2 linked regions of the Alligator mississippiensis genome follow. The protein of the gene in region 1 purifies or fractionates together with the protein of each later gene. This does not show direct contact. Links are inferred from orthologs where the notes say so. Each region holds a gene or a part of one and is shown in the gene's direction. Other genes may lie near its edges.

The links.
Region 2: the proteins of SUPT16H (region 1) and OTUD5 purify together in Homo sapiens (affinity purification with mass spectrometry; 3 studies listed by BioGRID, with this or other methods). This does not show direct contact. The link is inferred for Alligator mississippiensis from reciprocal best matches to the Homo sapiens genes SUPT16H and OTUD5.

What each region holds. Positions count from the first base shown.
Region 1 is NC_081830.1:3,856,512-3,867,805, reverse strand, and holds the start of SUPT16H (FACT complex subunit SPT16), read left to right. Parts: upstream 1-6,340; 5' UTR 6,341-6,423; coding exon 6,424-6,489; intron 6,490-6,571; coding exon 6,572-6,664; intron 6,665-6,794; coding exon 6,795-6,956; intron 6,957-7,539; coding exon 7,540-7,692; intron 7,693-7,795; coding exon 7,796-7,942; intron 7,943-8,042; coding exon 8,043-8,194; intron 8,195-8,498; coding exon 8,499-8,671; intron 8,672-8,794; coding exon 8,795-8,885; intron 8,886-9,124; coding exon 9,125-9,198; intron 9,199-9,694; coding exon 9,695-9,807; intron 9,808-9,899; coding exon 9,900-9,965; intron 9,966-10,317; coding exon 10,318-10,413; intron 10,414-10,577; coding exon 10,578-10,693; intron 10,694-10,974; coding exon 10,975-11,128; intron 11,129-11,264; coding exon 11,265-11,294. Other genes in the region: CHD8 (chromodomain-helicase-DNA-binding protein 8), read left to right, coding at 1-162, 278-486, 947-1,465, 2,398-2,424, 2,733-2,878, 3,076-3,312, 3,564-3,779, 3,955-4,134 and 2 more. UniProt on the Homo sapiens protein: Component of the FACT complex, a general chromatin factor that acts to reorganize nucleosomes. The FACT complex is involved in multiple processes that require DNA as a template such as mRNA elongation, DNA replication and DNA repair.
Region 2 is NC_081831.1:28,451,566-28,462,790, reverse strand, and holds the start of OTUD5 (OTU domain-containing protein 5), read left to right. Parts: upstream 1-6,654; 5' UTR 6,655-7,378; coding exon 7,379-8,005; intron 8,006-9,280; coding exon 9,281-9,374; intron 9,375-11,084; coding exon 11,085-11,149; intron 11,150-11,225. Other genes in the region: KCND1 (potassium voltage-gated channel subfamily D member 1), read left to right, coding at 131-293, 1,364-1,447, 1,796-1,891, 2,433-2,647, 3,437-3,605. UniProt on the Homo sapiens protein: Deubiquitinating enzyme that functions as a negative regulator of the innate immune system. Has peptidase activity towards 'Lys-48'- and 'Lys-63'-linked polyubiquitin chains. Can also cleave 'Lys-11'-linked ubiquitin chains (in vitro).

The sequences.
Region 1 (11,294 bases):
GGCGCTCACCGCCCGCCTGCGGCGCCTGATCACCGCCTACCAGCGCAGCTACAAGCAGGAGCAGCTGAAGATGGAGGCGGCTGAGAGGGGTGATCGGCGGCGCCGGCGCTGCGAGGCTGCCTGCAAGCTCAAGGAGATGGTGCGCCGCGAGAAGCAGCAGCGGTGAGTCTGGGGCATGGGCATGGAGGGGAGCACCACTGGGGAGAACGGGGCCCACGCACCTGCCTGCCTGTGGGAATATGAGCCTCTGACTACCCCCACCCCCCTGCTTGAACAGGTGGACGCGGCGGGAGCAGTCGGACTTCTACCGGGTGGTGTCGAGCTTCGGCGTGGAGTACGACCCTGACACGCTGCGCTTCCACTGGGGCCGCTTCCGTGCCCTGGCCCGGCTGGACCGTAAGACAGACGAGAGCCTCACCAAGTACTACCACGGCTTCGTGGCCATGTGCCGCCAGGTCTGCCGCCTGCCACCCGCTGCTGGCGACGGTGAGTGTGTATGTGTTGGTGTTGCCTGCCTGGCCTGCTTCTGCTGCCCCAGCTGCCAGTGCTGGGCAGGTGGCCACGTTGGTCCCCTCACCTGAGTCCCTTGCAGGGGAAAGCCGCAGGGCTCATGGTGGTTGGCATGGGTCCCTCTTCTCCCTTGGAAGCATCTTTCCCAGGGGCCTGCCCAAGGGAGCAGGGGCATGTGGGGAGGGAACTAGTGACACCGTATTTTCTGGTAGGTACCCCAGAACATGGTCTTTATTAGAGGGGTTGGGGGGCACGGGGCAGGTCTGTGGGGCCCAAGGGCCAAGCTCTGATGGGGAGCAGATCTAGGGGGCACAATCATGGGGCGGGGGCAGGTCCATGGGGTTGCAGGGCTGTGCTCGTATTGGTGGGGGGGGGGGGGGGGTGCAGGGGCACCAAGTCTGTGGGGACCTACACTCACCACACGCCTGCCCCGCAGAGTCCCCAGACCCAACGCTGTTCATCGAACCAATCTCAGAGGAGCGGGCGTCGCGCACCCTGTACCGCGTGGACCTCCTGCGCCGGCTGCGGGAGCAGGTGCTGTGCCACCCGCTGCTGCAGGAGCGCTTGGCGCTGTGCCCACCCCCAGGCTTGGCCCTGCCCGCCTGGTGGGAGTGCGGCCGCCACGATGGCGAGCTGCTGCGGGGGGCTGCACGCCATGGCCTGGGCCAGGCCGACGCCGCCATCATGCAGGACCCAGACTTCTCCTTCCTGGCCGCCCGCCTCAGCTACCTGCATGGCCATGCTGGCACGCCGCAGCCCCCTGGGGTTGGCCTTGCCCCGCTGCCCCCCGCCCCAGAGCCACCGGCCACGCTGCCACCTGCCCCGCTCCCGCCCTCTGTGCCCCCCAAACCAGACTCGGCCGACGACTCGGATTCAGAGCTCGACCTGGGCAAGCTCTCGCCCTCCTCGTCCGGCTCCTCCTCATCCTGCTCCGACGACAGCGAGGATGAGCGGGGTGAGTGCCCCTATTCAGGCTGTGCTGGGGTTGGGGGGAGCCTTTCTTGCGCAGGGCAGAGTGGCGGTGTCTGGTGTTCCCCAGGCTTCTGGGCTTTGCTGGCTGCCCCGTGGAGAGTCCATCTCCCTCCCCTCATCCTGTTGTTACGGGTATCGGGTTTTTTGCCTTCCTCGGCAGCATTGGGTCTTGGCTGCAGCCTAAGGTGGGGACCATCACTGGGGTGTGAGGCTCGCACCCAGAGGGTGCTACCTAGAGGGTCTTGCTTCTCCACTCGGGGTCAGCTCAGTGCTGTATTGGGGTCAGGAAGGAGTCCGTCCGTGCGTGTGTGTGTGTCCCTGCTCAGATGGGCATGGACTGGGGCAGGTGGGAAATTTTACCTCTTTCTGTGGCAGGGAGCACGGCCTCTGCCTAGGGTCTCTCGAGCACGTGTTTAAGCTTTGCACGGGCAGGATGTGGGCAGTGCCCTTGGGCCCCCCGCTTTACCTGCAGCCAGGGTCTCCCCTGGGGGGAGGCGACCACCCTGGGCCCTGCACTTTGGGGGGGTCCTGCGGTTGGTGCCACTGCCGCCGAGTGCTGCTGGCTTCGACTGCTCCCCACAACCCCCCCCCGGGCCCTGCACAGGCTGATATGCCCTGGGTCCCACACACCTCTAGGGACAGCTCTGCCTGCAGCAGGTCCGGGCGTTCTGGGAGAAAGGGTTAGCTGTGCTAGTTTGAAGGCAGGCAGTGGGCCTAGAAGGCATTTGACAGGCACGTGCCCCAAGCTCTGCACTTCCCTCAAGTGTCCCTCTGCCCCCTTTCCCGGCCTGATTTGCTGCTCTGCTTTCCGCTTCCTTCCCCATCTGCTGCTCTTGTTCCTGCCCCTTCCCCCACCTGCTCCATGCGTGCACGTGGGCTGCCCGTGCCTCTTGTGCCCGGCCACCCCTGTTACAGACCAACTGAATCACAGATGCGTGAGGGGTAAGAACGGGCTGGGCTGGGGTGTCGGAGCTGCAAGGGTCCTTTTAGACATGCCCCCATGTCCTGCTGCCTTTTGGAGTAGCTCTGACAAGAGCAACACATCGCTGAGCAGGGGCTAGACTGGGGGTGCCCCCACCCTAACCCCAGCTTTAATAGCAATAGCTTATTGGGGGAGGGAGCTGCTGCTTTGCCCTCCTCTGTGTTCCCCCTAGGTTGCCCTTCTCTGTCCTGGGAGCTGCCTGGGGCTAAGGGTGGGGCTGCTGCCTCTGCTCACCCCTGCCCTGTCCCTGTCCCTGTCCCCATGCCAGGCACAGAGCCATCCTGTGGAGGGAAGCTGTACGAGGAGGAGGAGTCGCTGCTGTCCTTGCCCACCTCCCGCGAGGGTGACTCACCCCAGCCCAGTGCCCCAGAGCTGCTGCTGCAGGAGCGGAACCGCGCCCACGACTGGCCCAAGGTAAGGTCAGGGGTCCTGGCATGGCTGAACCCTTTCTCAGGTTGCATCCCCTTGGATGTCTGCCTGCAGCGGCAGGGAAGTTGCCGTGGGTCCACTGGTGACCCCCACTTACTCTAACTGGGGCCACATAAATCTGGTTTGTTGGTGGGGGCATATTTGCCATGTCTACATTAACCATCCCCATCTTCCCCCCCCAGGACCGGGCTCTCCTTAGCCGCATCGACTTGATCTGCCAGGCTGTGCTGACCGGGAAGTGGCCCTCTGGGCCACGTGGACCAGAGGTCTGCAGGGGACCAGGAGAGGGCATGGCCCGGCTGCCTGGGGACTACGGCCCTCCTGCCCCCCGTGTCGGCCCCCCTGACGAGGCACCCATGTCCTACACACGGCTGCGGCACAGCCCCGAGGAGAAGGAGTTCACAGTGCAGATCAAGGATGTTAGTAGGGGAGCAGGGGGTGCACACGTGTGTGGGGCAGGGGGTAGGGAGGTGCCCATGATGACTCGCCATGCTAATACCGACCCCCAGCTGGGCCCGCAGCTTGGCTCTGGCGTGGGGGGGTGAGTTCAACTCTTTTCGCGAAGAGCTGAGGCGCCCTGTGGCATGGGAGGAAGTTGGCGGGGGTAGGGGTCAAGCTTTGGCTTCTGTTCCCTATTGAACCTGCTCTGACTCCCACCCCTGGCCCGCAGGAGGAGGGGATCAAGCTGACCTTCCAGAAGCACAGGCTTGTCCCCAATGGCGCCATGCGTGAGCGGCATCAGCCCCCACCCCAGCCTCATGCCCATGCCCATGCCCATGCACACACCCACAGTCAGGGCCATGGCCACGGACATGGACATGGGCATGGGCAGGGGCCACCGCAGCATCTACAAGGCCACAAGAAGAGCAGCAAGAAGTTGGTGGAGGTGAGTGCAAAGGGTTGTTGCTGCTGGGAGAGTGCTCTGGGGGCAGGGACGTCTCTGCCAGGGGCTGTCCCTGTTGCCACTGGTCTGCAGCGCCCCGAGGGGCGGCAAGAGTTGGTCATTCGGTGTCTGTCCCTGTCTCCTGATGGAGACTCTTTCCCCTTGCCCTCGGCCCCAGCTGGAGCTACAGTGCCTGGAGAGTCTGCGGGGCCCTGACATCGACCTGGAGGCGCGGATCCCAGTGGTTCGCAAGACAGACGGGACGGTGCTGGTTGGGGAGGCAGCGCCACGCCGTGCTGACCTCGAGGCCTGGCTGCAGGCGCACCCTGACTTCGCCATTGACCCCCGCTTCCTGGCTGTGAGTGTCGCGCTTATTTGGCCTGTGTGGGGCACCCTGTCCCCCACTCCTCCAGACCCTCACTGTGCCCCCACTTTGCTTGTGCATGCGGCCCCATCTGTGTGCCTGGGGCGGGTGAGTGCTGCCTCTCGGGCTGTCCAAGCTGCTTAGATCTCAGACTTGGAAGGACCTGTGTTCTCCTGGGTGTGGATGGGGGCAGGAGGAGGCAGTTTTGCTCTACATGGGCAGCACCTGGCACTGTGGGCTCTGTGGGCAGCAGAACAGCAAGGCCACTGACCCGCCATCCTGCTCTCTGCCCCTAGTACATGGAGGACCGCCGCAAGCAGTACAAGTGGCACCGGTGCCGGAAGCCAGGCATGGCCGAAGCTAGCTGCCTTCCCGGGCTGGAGCGGGGGCTCATGCCCGACACCCCAGGCACCAAGAAGGTGAGAGGCCAACTGCACCCTACCCCTAAGCCCCCTCCTGCCCTCCCTACCTCTGTTTCAGCTGCAGTGGGGTGACTTGAAAGGGGCAGTTGTGGAGTAGGGAAGGGCTCCCTCCTTTTCACAGGTATGGCCAGGCCTTGCTGGCATCGTGGTTGTTGCAGCTCGGGACAGGGATGGGGGTCCCCTAGGAACTCAGGGGAGGCTGGGGCAGGAAGGTCCTAGCACTAACCATCATCCTCCCTCCCTCCTTTCTTGCAGGGCTACATGCCCGACTCCATGTTGCACCGCCTCCTGCCAGGCCCCATGGCTGCAGCGGGGGGTCAGAAAGCACGGGGCCGCCGGGCAGGCGTGGACCTCTCCAAGATGGTTTCGCTGATGGGGGGTGCAGCACAGGGCCAACTGGGGGCTATGGGGCCCCTGGCCCTGCACAGCCACTTCCAGCCTGGCCCTGCCCCAGGCACCGCGCTGCCCTACGCGCCCTTCCCCGCACCCGCAGCCTCCTCCTCCGCCACCCTACTGCACCCTGGGCTGGGCCACGGTAGCTATGCTCCCGGCCCCCCGCTGCACCTGGGGCACCCGGGCCACCTGCAGCCAGATGAGGACGACGACGAGGACGAAGACGAGATGGACGACTTGTCTCAGGGCTACGCCAGCTCCGAGCGGGACTTCTCCCTGCTGGACGACCCCATGATGCCGGCCAACTCGGACTCCAGCGACGGGGCCAACGAGGAGGGTGACTGAGCGGAGGACCAAGGGCCGGATGGACGGACAGACAGGATAGCGGGACTCCTGGGCTGCCCAGGCCCTGATGGGCGCTGCGGCCGGCTCCACGTGCACGGTGCTGCAGCCCCCGCGGGCGGCCCCGGGTGCAGGCAAAGGAGGGCCCGAGCTGCACGTGCCCCTCCAGCCCTGGCCGTGCCTGCCCCGCCTGCCCCCAGCATGAGCAGCGGCCGCCGGCACCCCCCTCTCCCCATCTCCACCGCCCCCTGCTGCTGCCCCCGCCCGCCCGCCGCCGCCGCCTTCTCGCCCTCTGTCTCTGTTCCTCTGTGCGTGGGCCAAGGGGCTCGCCCCGCGCCCGCTCCCCCCGGGGCCCTCAGCCCACCCCCAGCGGCGCGGGGCCCGGTGCTGTCCTTTCCCCCCCTCCCGGGCTCTATTTATATAAATATGTAATATGTCTTGTGTGATACGGCGGGGGCGGGGGGCCGGGGCGGGGGGGCTGGGCCGCATTAGAGCTTCCCGTAGTTGGATTCTTTTCTTTTCTAATAAAATGAGTTAAAATGCAGCTGGCAGTATTGCCCCATCCCCTGCCGTGAGCCACTCTGTCCTGGGGGGGCACTTGCCCCAACCCCCTTGCCCTGCTCCTGGGGGCATGGAGCCACTGCAGTGGAGCAAAGGTCATGCATCCCCAATGGGGTCACCCTCTTTCCCCCCCCCCTCCTATGGGTTTTCTTTTTTTTTTATGCGTGGCGCATGCGTAGAAGCAGCTAGTGCCACGAACTGCGCGGAGGAGGGGGAGGCTGGAAGGGGACGCGTCACGTGGTGAGGAGGGGCTAAACGCGCATGCGTAGGCAGCTCGGCGCGCTCGCCGCGTCACGTGGGGTAGGGGCCCGGTCCGGCGCGTGCGCCCTGAGGCGACGAGTGCGAAAACCCCGCGAAAACCTTGGCGCGCGCAGAGGGAGGGGCGGGGCTGCCTGAACGCACCCGCTCCTTCACGCGCGCGCGCACGCCGGGGGGGTGGGGTCATGGCCCCGGAAGCGGAAGCGCGTCCCGGGCCGCGCGTTTTCCCCCCGCAGGGTAGGGGGGCAGGACGGAATCGCTTCCGGGCTAGGGGCCGCGGCGGAGCCTGGAGCGCGGAGCCGCCTCCATGGCGCTGAGCCTGGACCGCGAGGCCTACTACCGCCGCGTGCGCCGCCTCTACGCGCAGTGGCAGGTGCGGGCCGGGCGGCGGGAGCGGGCGGGGGGGGCAGCGGCAAGGGGCAGCGGCAGCACTGACCCTCCCCCCCGTGTTGCAGAAGGGCGAGGAGGAGTACGGCGACGTAGACGGCATCGTGGTGTCCGTGGGGGTGGACGAGGAGATTGTCTACGCCAAGTCCACGGCCCTGCAGGTCAGCCCGGGCGGGGGGAGGGGAGAGGAAGGGGAAGGGGGGGCCGCCGGGGCGGGTGGGCGGGCGAGCTGGGCCCTGACCCCGCCGTGTGTGTCCCCCATCCCCTCCCCCACCCGCCCCCCCCCCCCAGACATGGCTGTTCGGCTACGAGCTGACCGACACCATCATGGTGTTCTGCGAGGACAAGATCCTGTTCATGGCCAGCAAGAAGAAGGTGGAGTTCCTCAAGCAGCTGGCCAACAGCAAGGGCGGCGACAGCATCCCCGCGCTCACGCTGCTCGTGCGCGAGAAGGTGGGTGTCGAGGCCGGGGGTGTCTCCGGGCAGGCTGTGCGCGTCCCCCTCCCCCCCCCCCGCGTGTGTGCGGTTCCCAACCGGTCGCTCCCTCGGTTTGCTGGTGCTCGAGGAGCCCCGCGGGCGCCGGGGAGCCGGTCCCCGTGCCTCTAGCCCAGGTGACAGGGGGGCGGTGCTGGGCCGGGGCTGGGGGCGGAGGGAAGGGCCCCGGTGCTGTCTCTGCAGCATAGGGACGGCCTGGGGAAGTTGTGATCCTGGACAGCGACGGCTGGAAGGGGTCTTGGGAGCTCGCGTCTAATTCACTCCCTTGCTCAAAAGAGCCCCTATTACGTCATCCTAGATGATGCTTTATGTAGCCTGTGGTACCAAGTCCGCGATCTTTTTAGGTAGCTCTGTTGTCGAGAGACTATTTTTCCAGATATCAGCAATTTTTTTTGGTACTTTTGTTCTGTCTTCTGGCATCGCTGATGAGTGATACGTCTCTTACGTGCTAGAGGGATAAGGATAGGGGTTGATCGTGGTACAAAACAGGGCATGTGGCCCAGTACCCAGGTGCTGATGTGCCCTTCCCCCCCCCTGGCAGAACGAGAGCAACAAGGGAAACTTTGAGAAGATGGTGGAGGCGCTGAAGGGCAGCAAGGGGGGGAAGCGTATCGGCATTTTCAGCAAAGACAAGTTCCCCGGCGAGTTCATGAAGAGCTGGAGCGACTGCCTCAGCAAGGAAGGCTTTGAGAAGGTCTGCGGGGCTGGGGTAGCTGAGCCACGTGGGAGATTGGGGTAGGGGGTTGGATACTGGTAACGGCCTGGTGACCGTCCCTGCCTTCCCCGCCCTGGTGCAGGTGGACATCAGTGCGGTCGTGGCCTACACCATTGCAGTGAAGGAGGATGGGGAGCTCAACCTAATGCGCAAGGCAGCTGCTATCACCTCTGAGGTGTTCAACAAGTTCTTCAAGGAGCGTGTCATGGAGATTGTGGATGCTGACGAGGTCGGTGGGGGACGGGGAGGGGGCCAGGTTGCACAGTTGCCCAGGCTTCAACTTGCCCCAGTAGCCACCCTGATTCTGTACACCTTACCCCATCCTGCAGAAAGTACGGCACAGCAAGTTGGCCGAGTCGGTGGAGAAAGCCATCGAAGAGAAAAAGTACTTATCAGGAGCTGATCCCTCCACGGTGGAGATGTGCTACCCTCCCATCATCCAGAGTGGTGGCAACTACAACCTGAAGTTTAGTGTGGTCAGGTTGGTGTCTTGTGCTCCCCCCCCAAAATTTGCACGATCATGCACACAGGTGCAGTTCTTTCCTACAAAAAGAGTCCAGTGTTCTTCTACCCAGAGCCCCCCAGTCATCTTTGGTTGAGGTAGGGGAGAGGCCTCCCCACTTACAACCCAGGTAGTGGGGTTTGTCTGGGTCTGTGCTACTCTTGCTGCCTCTTACCGAGTTCCAGCCCAGCTGCTTTTCTGTATGGTGCTTGCCAAAGACACCTTCTGACAGTTGCTCCCCACCCTGACGCATTCATTCTGTTTACCCTTGTTTTCCTGACAGCGATAAGAACCATATGCACTTTGGGGCCATTACCTGTGCCATGGGCATCCGCTATAAGTCGTATTGCTCCAACCTGGTTCGCACCCTCATGGTGGACCCCCCTCAGGACATGCAGGACAACTACACCTTCCTGTTGCAATTGCAGGATGAGATGCTTAAGGAGATGCAGCATGGTGAGCTTGGGGGGAGGGTACCCAGCATGGGGCTGGCTGGGCTGGGGGCTAGGGGTGTAGAGGTAGGAGCATCAGGGCTCTGCCCACCACCCATGTGGTGCTCACTCAGATTTGCCACCCTAGGTGTGAAACTATGTGACGTCTACGCGGCTATCATGGACGTGGTAAAGAAGCAGAAACCGGAGCTGCTGAGCAAGATCACTAAGAACCTGGGGTAAGAGATTGCTTCAGGCCCCCCGCCCCCCCCCCCAGTATCTGCCCACCTCTGGGTTTAGAGGCACCCACTCAGGCTTCAAGGCTGCTGGGGCAGGGAGCTGGCTCCTGCCACGGCGCTGGCAGCCACGCCTTCTAGCCTGGAGCACAGAGGGGGGGGTTGCCCTGGTGTTGGGGCTTTGGGACTGGGGTGAGTGGTGGCTATGGGTGACATGGCTGCTCCGCTCTCTCTCTGCCCAGGTTTGCCATGGGCATCGAGTTCCGCGAGGGCTCCCTTGTCATCAACAGCAAGAACCAGCATCGGCTTAAGAAGGGTAAGTAGTGCCCAGCTTTGCGGGAGGGGTGCCACTCAAGCCTGCAGGTTGCAGGCACCCAAGTCGGCCCCTTTGTGTCCAAATCTCTTCTTTCTGCTACTGCATGGGGATGTGCTGCTACTACTGGTTTCCAGCCTGCCTCACCCAAACCCTGTGAGGCCCTGGCCCCACTTGCATGCTCTCTGCCATGGGGTTCCTTGAACTTTGTCTTGCCACTAGCTCAGTATATAAGGAAGGAGCAGAGGCCCCCTTGACAGACCAGCCCCTACCTTGGGCGACTGGTGGCTCTGTCCATCTGCCCCTGTCCCTGCGCATCCCTTTTTTTCTCCTGTTGGGATCAGGGACAGCGCCTCCCACCCCCAGCCTTCACGCAAAAGTAGGGTGAGTCCTAGGCCCACGCAGCTCCAGGGCTGGTGCTGTCTGACTTGGTGGGGTCCTGTCTTACTTTCTGGTGGTCCCAGCCCCATCTAGTGACTCTGTCTCATGCGTCTCACAGGGATGGTTTTCAGCATCAACTTGGGTTTCTCGGACTTGACCAACAAAGAGGGGAAGAAGCCTGAGGAGCGGACGTACGCGCTGTTCATCGGAGACACCGTGCTGGTGGATGAGGTGTGAACATAGGATGGATAGAGAGAGCATGTGTTGAGGTAGAGGCTGCATCACTTTGTTGCACTGATCTTCCCTTTTCTGCTCTTTCTCAGGAGGGACCAGCCACTATCCTCACAGCTGTTAAAAAGAAGGTTAAAAATGTCGGCATCTTTTTAAAGGTGAGGCCAGGGTTGTTGAAGGGTTACAGGGTGTGGGGGAAGGTGGCAGGCAGGGAGCCAGGAGGGCTGGCCCTGGAAAAGGTTTGGGATCATGTCAGGGAGGACTTGGCCGCTGTGAGCAGGCCAGTTTCGGGGCAGCATGCCTGGAGTGTTGCAGAGAAATGAAATCTGAGGGTCGGGGTGGTGGGAAAGGAACAGAGCAGGGGCATGGAGAGCTGATCTGGCTAAGGTTGAGGCAAGGAGGCTGCTTGGCCCCAGGCTGCCACCATCACTTGCACTGCTTGGTGTCATTCCTCCCATGGGGGGCATTGGGGGAGGCCGGCGCTCTGAGCGGCATGTTTGTATCCTGCAGAACGAGGATGAGGACGAGGAAGAGGAGGAGAAGGACGAGGCCGAAGACTTACTGGGTCGCAGCTCACGGGCAGCGTTGCTAACAGAGAGGACGCGGGTGCAGTTCCAACCTTGGGGCCCTGGGGGTCGGGGGACAGGGGCTGGTAGTCATGCTTATTTTGGGGCTGGGGCTGGGGTGACCAGGCCAGGGCTATGTACTAGAGCTGGGGTGGCCTGGACATGGGGCAGGGCCTCACACTGCTTCTATTCTCCCACCCCCAGAATGAACTGACAGCAGAGGAGAAGCGCCGGGCCCACCAGCAGGAGCTGGCTGCGCAGCTGAACGAAGAGGCGCGGCGGCGGCTCACAGAGCAGAAGGGCGAGCAGCAGATTCAGAAGTGAGCAGCAGGGGGCAGTCATGATACTTGTGGCATATGATAACAATGCTTTCAGCACATGCAGTAAGGGGGAGGGGGTGGCTGAGTCGCTGGGTTCAGCTGCTTCTAAATTTCCAGGTCCTGGTTTCTTGTGTTTAAGAGTTTTAGAAGAGCTGGCCAAGGTTTGTACAAGGCCTGAAGTACTGCAGGGTTGGTTGGAGGAATGATTTTTTGGGGGGAGGGCCCCAAGAGCTCTGGGAGGTTCCAAGGGACTGTGTGACACCCGCACCCACCCTACACAGGGCTCGCAAGTCCAACGTCTCCTACAAGAACCCATCACTCATGCCTAAAGAGCCACACATCCGGGAGATGAAGATCTACATCGATAAGAAGTACGAGACGGTCATCATGCCCGTGTTCGGCATTGCCACGCCTTTCCACATTGCCACCATCAAGGTACAGCACCAGAGCAGGGCTCTACCATGACACCCCCTTCAAGGGTTCGAGCAGGGGGAGGGACCTGTGGGCACTAGGCTGGGGTAGCTATTCTCTTTTTGACCCACATAACATCCCTGTCTCTCCCATGGCACAGAACATCAGTATGTCAGTAGAGGGTGACTAC
Region 2 (11,225 bases), on another chromosome or scaffold:
CACCAATATGGGGGAGCTGCATGTCAAGAGTGAGGGGCACTGTGTGGGTGGTTTTGGGTCGGGAGTGAGTCATTGTGTGACTTCTGCCTCCTCCTCCGTGATGATAATCTTTGTTGTCTGGCACTGCCAGGTATGGGGACATGGTGCCATCCACCATTGCAGGGAAGATCTTCGGCTCCATCTGCTCACTCTCAGGGGTGCTGGTAATTGCGCTGCCTGTCCCCGTCATCGTCTCCAACTTCAGCCGCATCTATCACCAGAACCAGCGTGCCGACAAGCGCCGTGCCCAGCAGGTGCCCAGGGGCAGGGCCAGGGCAAGGGGGTGGAGTTTGGGCTGCAGGCAATGCTATGGGGAGGGATGGAGTTGGGAAGGATGGGGCAGGGCTATAGCAGGAGGGGCAGAAAGGGGCTGTGGCAGGGGCGGGCAATTATTTGGGCTGGGGAGCCACTTTGGGAGGTTTGCTGAGCTATTGTGGGCTGGGTTAGCATCCCCTCTCCCCCAACCTGTAACAACTCACCAAGACTCCAGACTACTTGGGGAACCGGCCTGGATCCCCAGTGGGTAGGGAGCTACGTCTGGGATAGGGAGAGATGGGAGGGGCCTAAGTGGCCCTCGTCCAAGGCTGGGACCATGGCGTGATGGCAGCATGGGACCAGGGCCCTGGGCAGAGCTGTAACCTGCTCCCTGAATGCCCCTGCTTATGGAAGTGGTGTTAGTCGCAGGGATGTGCGTGCACCAGCCCCATCTGTTCTGCTCCTGGACTCTGGTCCCTACCTGCAGCTCCATTCCATGTGCCTGGCTGAATGTGCCCTGGCTGTGGGGGTTCTGGGCTGCTCTCCATGGAGATCCCACCTTCCCCCTCTATCTGGCACCGCTGGCAGTGGATGCAGAGTGGATAGGCTGGGATGTCCAGGCAGTGGGGCCAGGTCTGGTGGCAGCAGTGTCACTAGCAGCTGGAAGGAGCCACTGCTGGGAAGTAGAATCTGGCTGCCGTGCTGCCCTAGCTCTGTTGGGTGTCTTGGGGTAGTGGCACTGGCCACTCGTACCACAGCTCAGGTTGCCCACCAAAGGCTGGGCTGAACAGGGCTGAGGGATCTGCTGTGAGTCAGGTAAAACTTCTTGGCAGGCTGGATCTCGCCTGTGGGCAAAATGCTGCCTACCCCTGAGCTATGGGGAGGTGGTAGTGGGGCCAAGGGAAGGGGGCAGGACTATAGGGTGGGGGGGGCAGGGGCTGGTATTCAGAGAGAGCACAGAGCTATGGGGAAGAGGTGGAGTCAGGATTGGAGGGGGCAGGGCTTATGGGGGGTGCACAGAGGAAGGCTGGGGGCATGGCCTCTGCCCATCACCCCCCCTCCCCCACAGAAGGTGCGCCTGGCCCGGATCCGGCTGGCCAAGAGCGGGACGACCAAAGCCTTCCTGCAGTACAAGCATAGCAACGACCTCGAGGTGTGCATGGCTTTGCATGGTGCTGGGACCCTGTTATGCAGACTTTGCCCAGGGAATGGGACCTCTTGGATTGGGAACTGGGGCCCTGGCATGGGGAATGGGGATCCCTTGCACAGCCTCGCACGAGGGAAATGGGGCTCCTCACAGAGGCTTGCACATGACTGTGGGATCCCTTTGCACGGGGAACAGTTCTTTGCACAGCCTCACATAGGGAACGGGGCTCCTTGCACAAGCCTCACACAGGAAAACAGGATCCCTTGCACACCCCTTGCACCAGCACCCCAGTCCCTCCTCCCACTTCTACCTTATGGGGGGTATCCATCTGTCCGTCCTCTTCCCCACCCCCAGGAGCTGGACGGCCACCCCCAGGCCCCTGGGCTACGGACCTGTTCGGCTTTCGAGTTGCAGCACCATCACCTGCTTCACTGCCTGGAGAAAACCACGGTGAGCTAGGAAGTGGGCACTGGAAGGTTAAAAGTGGGGACTGGGAGTCTAGTGGTGGGGACTGGGAAGGTACTGGGAGGCCAGTGGGGATACTGTGATGGACTGGGAGGCTAGTGGGGGGCAATGTAAGCTTGCCATGGTGGGGGAGCTTTTGGGGGCAGGGTCTGTGGGGCTATGGCTCGTCCTGGAGGCCCTGCCTGCTCTGGCCTCCCCCACCCCTCACAACCTGGATGCTCAGTAGCAGCAGGTCCTAGGTAAGGTTGCCAACCCTCCCAGATTGGCTGGGAGTCTAGCAGAATCAGCATCAATTTCCTGGTGATTATTGACAGCAGTCTGGGAGATCTGATATTGCAAAGGGGTTGAACAGTACAATTAATGACATGACATCATGTTGGGGGGGGGAAAATCTCCTGGAATAGCTTTGGTCAGAGTTGGCAACCCTAGTCCTAGGTGGGAGTGAGGGTCAGTATGGTCAGGGCTTGCCCTAGAAATGATACCCCTCCTTTCCCTGCCCTGCCCCCTTCTTCTGACCCCACCCCAGAACCATGAGTTTGCAGCAGAGCGGGGGGTGTCGCCAGGGGCACGGTCAGGGAGGAGCCTGTCGCTGTCCTCGAGTGGGGCCCCATCTCCGGGTGGATCCTGTTGCCCCCGGCGACCACGCCACCGCCCCCTCCGCCTTGGTTCCACCCCATCAGGCAGCCGGGCCATTGCCCAGGAGCTCAGCACCCTGCAGGGCCTCAAGGGGCCAGCTCACAGGTACTGCATGTGCTTGGACTATTCACAGGGTGTGCTTGGCATATTCGCGGTGTGTTTGGTGTGTTCTTGGGGTATGCCATGGTATGGCTGGTGTGTTCCCAACATGTTTGTGGCATGGGCTTGGTGTGTTCTCTCAGTGCACCTGGCATTGGGGTTAGCATGTTTCTAGCATGCTCATGGCATGTTCCCAGCGTGTGGTTGGCATATTCATGGTGTGTTCATGGCATGTGTGCAGCATGCTTGCAGTGTGGGTTTGGCATGTTCCTGGCATGCTCATGGTGTACTTGCACCAGCAGGTGGCATATTTAGAGTATGGACTTGGTGTGGGCTTGGCATGTTTCCAGTGTGGGGCCTAGTTTTTTTCCCTGCATGTGCTTGATGACTTTCTGGTATGTGCTTGGGATGCTCAAGTGTTCCTGGTTCCAGGTGTGAGCACAGCCTATTTTCTTGCATGTGCTCTATGTATTTCGTGTGTTTGTACCATGTTCACAGCACATGCTTACCATGATCCCAAAATGTTTTTGGTGTGCAGTTGATGTGTGCATGGCACTGGCTCAACATGGGTCTGGCATGTTCTCAGTTTTGTGTCCTGTGTTCCGGGCACTTCTGTGGCATGTACTTCATGTATATACTGCATGGCTCAGGCGTGTTTGCAGCCTATGTCTATCAGTTTTGTGTTGGGAAACACTGGGTTCTGCTGCCATCCAGTGGGCAGCCATTGAAACTTTGGGGGAGGGTGGAGCTGGGAGCCCAGACGCTTGGGTTCATGCCCCCCACCCCTCCCTCTAGCCGGTCCAGCCTGAATGCGACACCAGCACCGGATACCCTGAAGCTGAGCTACGAGGCAGCAGCACTGGCAGCAGCCATCATCAGCATCCCCACACCCCCTGCCAACACCCCTGATGAGAGCCCCCCCCCGGCACCCCGGCCCCCTCCCCTGCACATCTCTTCCCTCTGAGGGGAGTCCCTGAACACCTGGGTTCTTTGCGTCAAGACACCTGGGTTCCATTGGCCTGGATTCCACCTATCCTGGACACCTGGGTTCTTCACATCCTGGATGCCCAGGCCCTACCCAACCCAACCCAGATGCCTGGGTTCCATCTATCCCAGCCGCCTGGGTTCTGCTGGTCCCGGATGCCTAGGTTCTGCCCGTCCCAGGTGTCTGTATTCTGCCCAGCCTGGACCCTGTTCTGCCTAGCCCAGATGTCTTGGTTCTTCATGTCCCAGATGCCTGGGTTCCGTCCGTCCCAGATGCCTGTATTCTACCCAGTCCAGATGCCTTAGTTCTGCCTTCCTGGATGCCACGGTCCTGTCTTCTCCAGACACCTGGGATCCTCCTGTCCTGGACACTTGAGTTCTTCCTGTTCCAGAAGCCAGAGTCCCTGGACACATGGGTTCGTCCTGCTTAGGGGCATGTCCTGTACCAAATGCCTGTGCTTGTATCCCAAATGCCTCAGTTCTTCGTGTCCTGGATACCTGGAATCCCACCTGCTTAGGAGCATAGCCTGTACCAAACACCTGTGTTCTTCTTGCCTCGGACACCTGGATCCCTCCAGCTTGGGGTGCCTGAGTTCTTCCTCTCCTGGATGCCTGGGTTCCTCCCAGCCAGGGAGCAGCTTTACCCAGACATCTGGGTTCTTCTTGTGTGGGGCAGGCAGGAGGTGTGTGCTGCAACCTTAACCCAGATGTCTGAGTTCCCATGGGTCTGGAAAGGAAAGGCAGGGGGAGGGGCATGGCCCTCTGCCTCACCTGCTACTCTTTAGACCAGCCCCCTTCACAAGCAAAGCCATATATCAGGGTCAGCTATGCAAGCCTGGGGAGGGAGGAACTATTTCCCAAGGCGCAAGGACATGGGCCACTCCTGGAACTCATTAACCAAAAGCCATGGGAGCCTGGGGGGAGAAGGGGCCTGGTGCCTGGGTTCTGTCACCAGCTATGGGAACCTGCAATGCCTGGATACTCTCCTTCAGGATACCTGGGTCCTTCTTCAGGCCCCCCCACACCTGCACACATCATGGTGCCCCCATCTACTATGCTCACAGCAGGACTGTGCATGTGTCCATGTTGCCACCAGGGGGGTGCTTCCTTCCCAGCATGCACTAGGGGGAGAACCCCACCCCCTACCCCCCATATCCACCTCACCTCACAGGTCATCCTTCTCCTAGGGGTCATGACTCCTCCAGAGACCAGAAGCTGAGCTCAGACCATAAACCGTGACCCCTCCCCCTACTAGTGCAACAGCAGGGGAGGGCAGAGGCCTGAATGCCTGGGTTCCCTTCCCCAGGTTTCCTGGGGCATGGGGGTCTAGGGGCCCAGATGCCTAGGTTCTAGCCTGGCTTAGGGAGGAGTTGGGGCAAGGGTGGGAGGGCTGAGGCCCCAGACACCTGTGTCAAGCCCAGACTGGCTGTGGTAGGGTAGGGGGCAGCACCAATGGAGGGGAGGGACTGGGACCCTGCCCCCTTCTCAAAATACTCTATAGCACAATGCAGCTGCCTCCGTGGCCACTGGGGGTGGGCAGAGATTCTGCCCCCACCTGCACCCCTGTCTGGAATCTGTCCTCAGGCTGGCTGGGAGCTGGAGGCCCAAGGGAGGGGCCTCCTGGAGCCAGAGAGGCCTGGACACCTGGGTCCTTTCTAGACTCGGAAGCCCGGGTTGTTTTTGTTTTTTTTTTTGAGTCAGAGGAACCTGGAGGCCTGGGCTCTCTGCCCACTCTGGAAGTGGGGCGGGGGCGCTACAAGCCTGGAGACCTGGGCTCTTTCCCTGCTCAGGAAGGGGAGTCCAACAGGAGGCGCCTCCCTCCTGTATGCTTGGGTCCTGTCGCCAGCTCTGACAATGTAAGTTCAACTCAGGTTCCCCTTCGGTTTTTTTTTCCTGTTAGACATTTAAAAAATAAGAAAATTCTATACATATAGAGACAGGTATTATATACAGATACATAAAAGCCTGGCTCAGGGAGGGGTGGGGCAACGGATCATTAACACCTCCATGCCTGGAGCTGGGGGTGGGGTCAGGATGGGGGGGTGCCTTCCCTGCCCGTTGCCAAGGAATGAGGCTTATGCTGCTGTAGTTTGAGCAAATAAATGAACTGGTGACATGTCACAGCTCAGTCATTATTTGCAGGGCAGGGGGTGGGACCTGGGACGCCTGGGTTCTCTGGCAGGGGAGTTGGAGCGGGTAAGAAGTGAAGAAAAGGGGCAGGGCCTGCTTCTAAGTGACAGCCGTCTGATCCAATCAGGGGGCCAATATGCTCCCCACCTCACCCCCGCGAATACAAACCCCACATCCCTGCGCGCTCGTCTTGAAGCCCGGGCATTGTGTGTCTGATTGGCAATTTGCTCCCATCCAGTCAGATGAGGACTTGCCCTCTGGTCCAATCAGAGCGCAGAATGTTCTTGTCCAACGAATCATAAACCGGTGTTCTGCCCCTCAGTTAATCGCGTCCAGGTTTCTTTCCCTAGCTAATCAGCTGCGAGCATCTTGTTTCCAACCCTCCCTCACATGCGAGGCGGAATTTCCCTTAAACCCATTCAAGCCAATCAGTGATTACGCTTGTTTCCCCCTGGCTAATCAGGGCCTAAGCGTCCCTCCAGCCAACCGGAGGTTAGTCCCCCTTTTTCCCAAGCCAATAAGATTTGGCTCTTCTGCCTCTCAGCCAATCACATGCATGTCCGGGGCCTTTTAGCTAATGAGCATAGGCGACCTTACGCCGTGACCAATCAGTGAGCGCATGTCAAGGAGGGTCACCCAAGTCCCGCCGACCCCGGTTGTTGTCATGGGAAGTGGGAGGGGGAACGAGAGGATAGGGGGAGGGACACGGCTCTGACTGTGGCGCTCTCCCCCCAATCCCAAACGCGTTCCTCCAAGCCCATCGACCAATGACAGCGGAGCTGTGGGCCGGTAGCCAATAAGCGGTGGCGCTGTTACCCAGGCGCGTCGGGGTCTCGTCCCTTTTGACGTTCCGTTGCTAAGGGGCGTAGGGGCGGAAGTGAACGCGCCGGGGTCAGAGGCCGGTTGTGTTGATGTTGACACTAGGCCGGGGCCGAGCGCAAAGGGCCCGCCGCGGAAGCCGGGAAGGGCCAAAAACCTTCCATAGACCCCAGGAACGGGGGAGGGTTGCGGGGAGGGGGCGTTGGTTGCTTGCTTGCTTGCTGCCTTCCTTATCGGTCTGCTTTAGGCTAATTGCCCTGCTGTCTTGCACCCCCCCCCGGGCCGCCGCGGGGGTTGGGGAATACGACGGAGACTGGGGTCTCGGGGAGCGCTTCCCCCCCTTATCCAGTTCTGCGCCCCTCCCCCTCCTTGGGGAGGGAGGCGTTCCTTAGCCCTTTCAGCCGGATCCCCCAGGGGGGTGCCCCCTTAGCCTCGTACATCCGGGTTCTGCTCCCCCCTTAGCCCCTGACATCAGGGGACCCCCCCCTTAGCCCCCTCCATCCGGGTCTCTCGGCCCCCGAGCTCTGAGTCCTTCCCTTCTCTAGTCACCCCCTGACATCCGGGGATCTCCCCTTAGCCCCTGACATCCGGGTCCTTCCGCTCCGCTCACCTCTGGCATCCGGGGATCCCCCCTTAGCCCCCTACATCCGGGTCTCCCCCCCATTAACCCCTTCTCCCGGCTCCCCTTAGCTTTTCCATCCGGGTCCTTGCCCCCCTGTAGCCCTTAGCCCCCTACATCCGGGTCCTCCCCCCCCTCCCCCACCCCACCCCCCTTCCCAGCCCAGCGGCGGCAGCGGGCGGGCCATGACGATCCTCCCCAAGAAGAAGCCGGGGGGCGACGCCGACCCTCCAGGCTCCCGCGTGGGGGGGGCAGGAGACCCCCGCGTTGGGGGGCCCCCCAGCCCGGACCCCCGCGTGGGGGCGGGAGGGGGAGCGGCAGGCAGCTCCGGGGTGGGGGGGGGCAGTGACCCCCGGCCGGGAGGGAGCCCGGACCCCCGCGTGGGCTCGGCAGGGGGCGGGGCCTCCCCTCCCCCCCCAGCCCCTCCCCCGCCCCGCTGCTGGGGGGCACCGTCCCCTCCCCCCACCACCGGCGCCCCCGAGGCCAAGGCCGGGTTGGGTCTGGATGACCCCCGGGCGGGCGGCGGAGGCGTGGGGGGCGGATGCTGCGCGGGGCCCGGCCACAGTAAGAGGCGGCGGCGGGGGGGCTTGGGCTTGGCTTACGGGCCCGGCGGCGCCTCCGGGGGGGGATCTGGGCCAGCAGGGCTGGGCCTGGGCCTGGGGCTAGGGTTAGGGCTAGGGCTGGGGGCCGGCGATGGGGATGAGGCAGGCGGCGGCTACAACAGTGAGGACGAGTACGACCCTCCCCGCGGCGGGGGGGGGGCCGGGGGCGGCCCCCCAGGGGACAGCGGGGATCCAGCTGCGGCTGAGCAGGTGGGTAGGGGGGTCTGTGGGGGTGTGGAGGGAGGTGAACCCCTGTGGGGAAGGGAGATGTGCGGGGGTCTGGGGAGGGGAGAGATGGGGGGGGTCTCTGGTGTGAGGGGGTTCGCCTGTATGATTTGGGGTGTGGGAGGAGAGAAATGGAGGTTGTGATGTGTGGAAAGGGGAGAGATTGGGGGGGCACCCACTTCCCCATATGATGAGTGGGGCTGTGATCTGTGGGAGGGGGGCATCAGGTGAGGGGAAAGATTGGGGGGGGGGGTCTCTGGAGTAAAGGGACCCCCTGTGTACTGTCAGGGAAGGGGGTCTGTGGTGGGGGAGGGGAGAGATTGGGTGATCTCTGGGGTAGGGAAGGCCCTATGTGATTTGGGGGAGGGCTGTGATGTGGGGGGAAAGGGGAGATATTTGGGGGGCTCGGGTGAGAACAGTCCCCTGCCCCCATGTGATTTGGGAGAAGCTGTGATCTGGGGGAGGGGGGTTTCCAGTGAAGGGAACACCCCATGTACAATATGGGGGAATGGAGGGTTCTTGGACTGGGGCAGGGAAGAGATTGAGGGAAACTCTGGGGGAGGGGACCCCATATTCCTCCATGTGATATTGCAGGGGCTGTGTTGGGGTGGGGGGTTGTCTCTGGGGGAAGGGGAGGCATGGGGGGGGTCTCTGGGTTGGCTGGGACCCCTGTGTGGTGTGGGGGAGGGGAGGAGAGGGTAGGGGGGCGGTCTCTGGGGTTAGGGGGCAACTCCAGTGTGAGAGGACCCTGCCCCTGTATGATCTTGGGGTGGGGGGAGAGGGGAGGAGTGGGGGCCCCTGTGTGACCTGGAGGAAAAAGGAGGGGTCTCTGGGGTGAAGTAGCCCCTGTGTGATCTGGGAGGAGCAGAGATGGAGGAGGGGCAGCTGAGGTATAGCTGCCCCCCATGCCTGGGTTCTGTGTGAATGTTGATGCTGGACACCTGGGTTCTGAGACTGGGGGTGCCTGGACACCAGGGTTTCATGCGTGTGCCAGGGTTAGGGAGGAGCCCCTGGGTTCAGTGTCTATGCAGGTGGGGGTGCTGGATGCTGGGTATCTGCATTGGTGTTGATGCTGGACAAAGGGAGGTGGGCCCCAGACTCTGGACTCCCTGTGTGCTTGAGTCTCTCACTGGGACCCTGGTGGGGTATATGGGGGTGTGAGCCACAGAAGGGAAGAGCTTGGCAGCCTTGTGGGGGTGGTGTCCAGGGGGCAGGTCTTGGGGCTTGGCCAGTTGCTGACTCCACCCTTCTTGCCTCCAGCAGGAGCACAGGTTTGAGAAGGCATTGAGAGAAAAGAAAGGCTTCATTATCAAGCAGATGAAGGAAGATGGGGCCTGTCTCTTCCGGGCTGTGGGTGAGTGGCTTCTACCCTGCATCTGCACCCCAGGCCCTTATCTGCTTCCCCCTGTCCGACCCCCTGGCAGAGTTGTGGGGCTAGAAACCAAGCAGTGTTATACTTAGCTATTTCTCAACTGCCCAACCCCAGAGCTGGGCACATATCACCTTCCTTGTGTCCTTTTATATGCAGCCATTTCTAAACTGCTTCACACCAGAATTGGGTGCATCTTGGCCCTCCCTCTATGGTGTTTGACCCCAGGGGTGGCTGCATCTTGCCCTCCTTGTGTCCTGCTCTACCCAGGAGTTAGGCACATCTGGGCTCTTCCTTCATAGTATTATACTCTGTTGTTCCCCAGCCTTACATGTTAAAGGTGGATGCATCTTGCCTTTTTTGTGCACTGTTCTGCTGTTCTGGTTATCCCTGACCTGCCCCACCCCAGAGCTGGGTGAATCTCAGCCTTCTCTCTCTTGCATTATACTCAGCCACTCTGCCCCAGAGCTAGGCACCCTCCCTCTGTGGTGTTACACTCTGTTGTTCTACCCGGAGTTAGGTGCATCTTTCCCTCTTTGTGCCATATTAGACTTGGCTGTTCCTAACCTGCCCTACCTCAGAACTGGACATATCTCAACCCTCCCCTTATAGTGTTATACTCAGCTGTTTCCCAGCTGGCCCACCTCATAACTGGCTGCATCTGGGCCTCCCCTTCACAGTGTTATACTCAGCCATTCCACCCTAGAGCTGGGTGCATCTCAGCCCTCCCTCTATGACATTACACTTTGCTGTTCCTTATCTGTTCCTCCCCAGAGCTAGATGCGTGTCATCCCTCTCTGTAGTGTTATACTCAGATGTTTTCCAGGTGCTATAACCTAGAGCTGGATGCATCTTAGCCCCCACTTCATACTGTTATACTTGACTGTTCCTCAGCCATTCCAGCCCAGAGCTGGGTCCATTTCAGCCTTCCCATTATAGCAGGGGTGGGCAATTATTTTGGGCAGAGGGCTGCTTACTGAGTTTTAGCAAGCCATCGAGGACCACATGACAGGCAGCCAGGGGTAGATAAATATTAATTTTCCAAATTTTTAAGGGCCCCGCGGGCCAGATAGAATGGCCTGTCAGGCTGCATTTTGCCCACCCCTGCATTATAGTGTTATACTCAGCTGTTCCCTAGTCAGAGCTCCCCAGAGCTGGGCGCATCTCTCCTTTCTTTTGCCCTGTTACATTCAGCTGTTCCTAACCTGCCCTGCCCCAGGGCTGGCTGAATCTCACCCTCCTTGTGCCCTGTTATGCTTGGCCATTCCTCACCTGCTTCACCCCAGAGCTGGGTGCATCTTGGACCTTCTCTGATTCAGCAGATCCCTTCCCCTTTGACTCAGCAGATTCCCTCACTCTGTGCTGGTGCATCAGCAAATTCCTCTCTGACTTAGCAGCAGGGAAGAGAGGAGTGTGCGCTCAGAGGCAGGCCAAGAGGACCCAGGTGTCTGGGTTCCTATGATCCAACCCACCAGCCACCATTCCCCTCCCAGAGAACCCAGGTGTCCAGGTTCCCAGCTGCCATCCACCAACCACCCTCTTACTTCCCTGCCCAGAGCAGGGAGAGGACCCAGGTATATGGGCTATCAGTCAGGCCCCATGTCAGCATTCTAGTGAGCAATGCCCTCCCTTGGAGGGATGCCTTTGGGCCCTATCTCATGATCCTTTGCTTCTTCTCCTTCCCCGCCACTTCAGCCGACCAGGTATATGGTGACCAGGACATGCATGAGGTGGTCCGGAAACACTGCATGGACTACTTGGTGAGTGGTGGTAGGGCCCAGACACCTGGGTTCTCTGAGGGATGGGGAGGACCTGGGGGTGAGAGCAAAGGGTGTG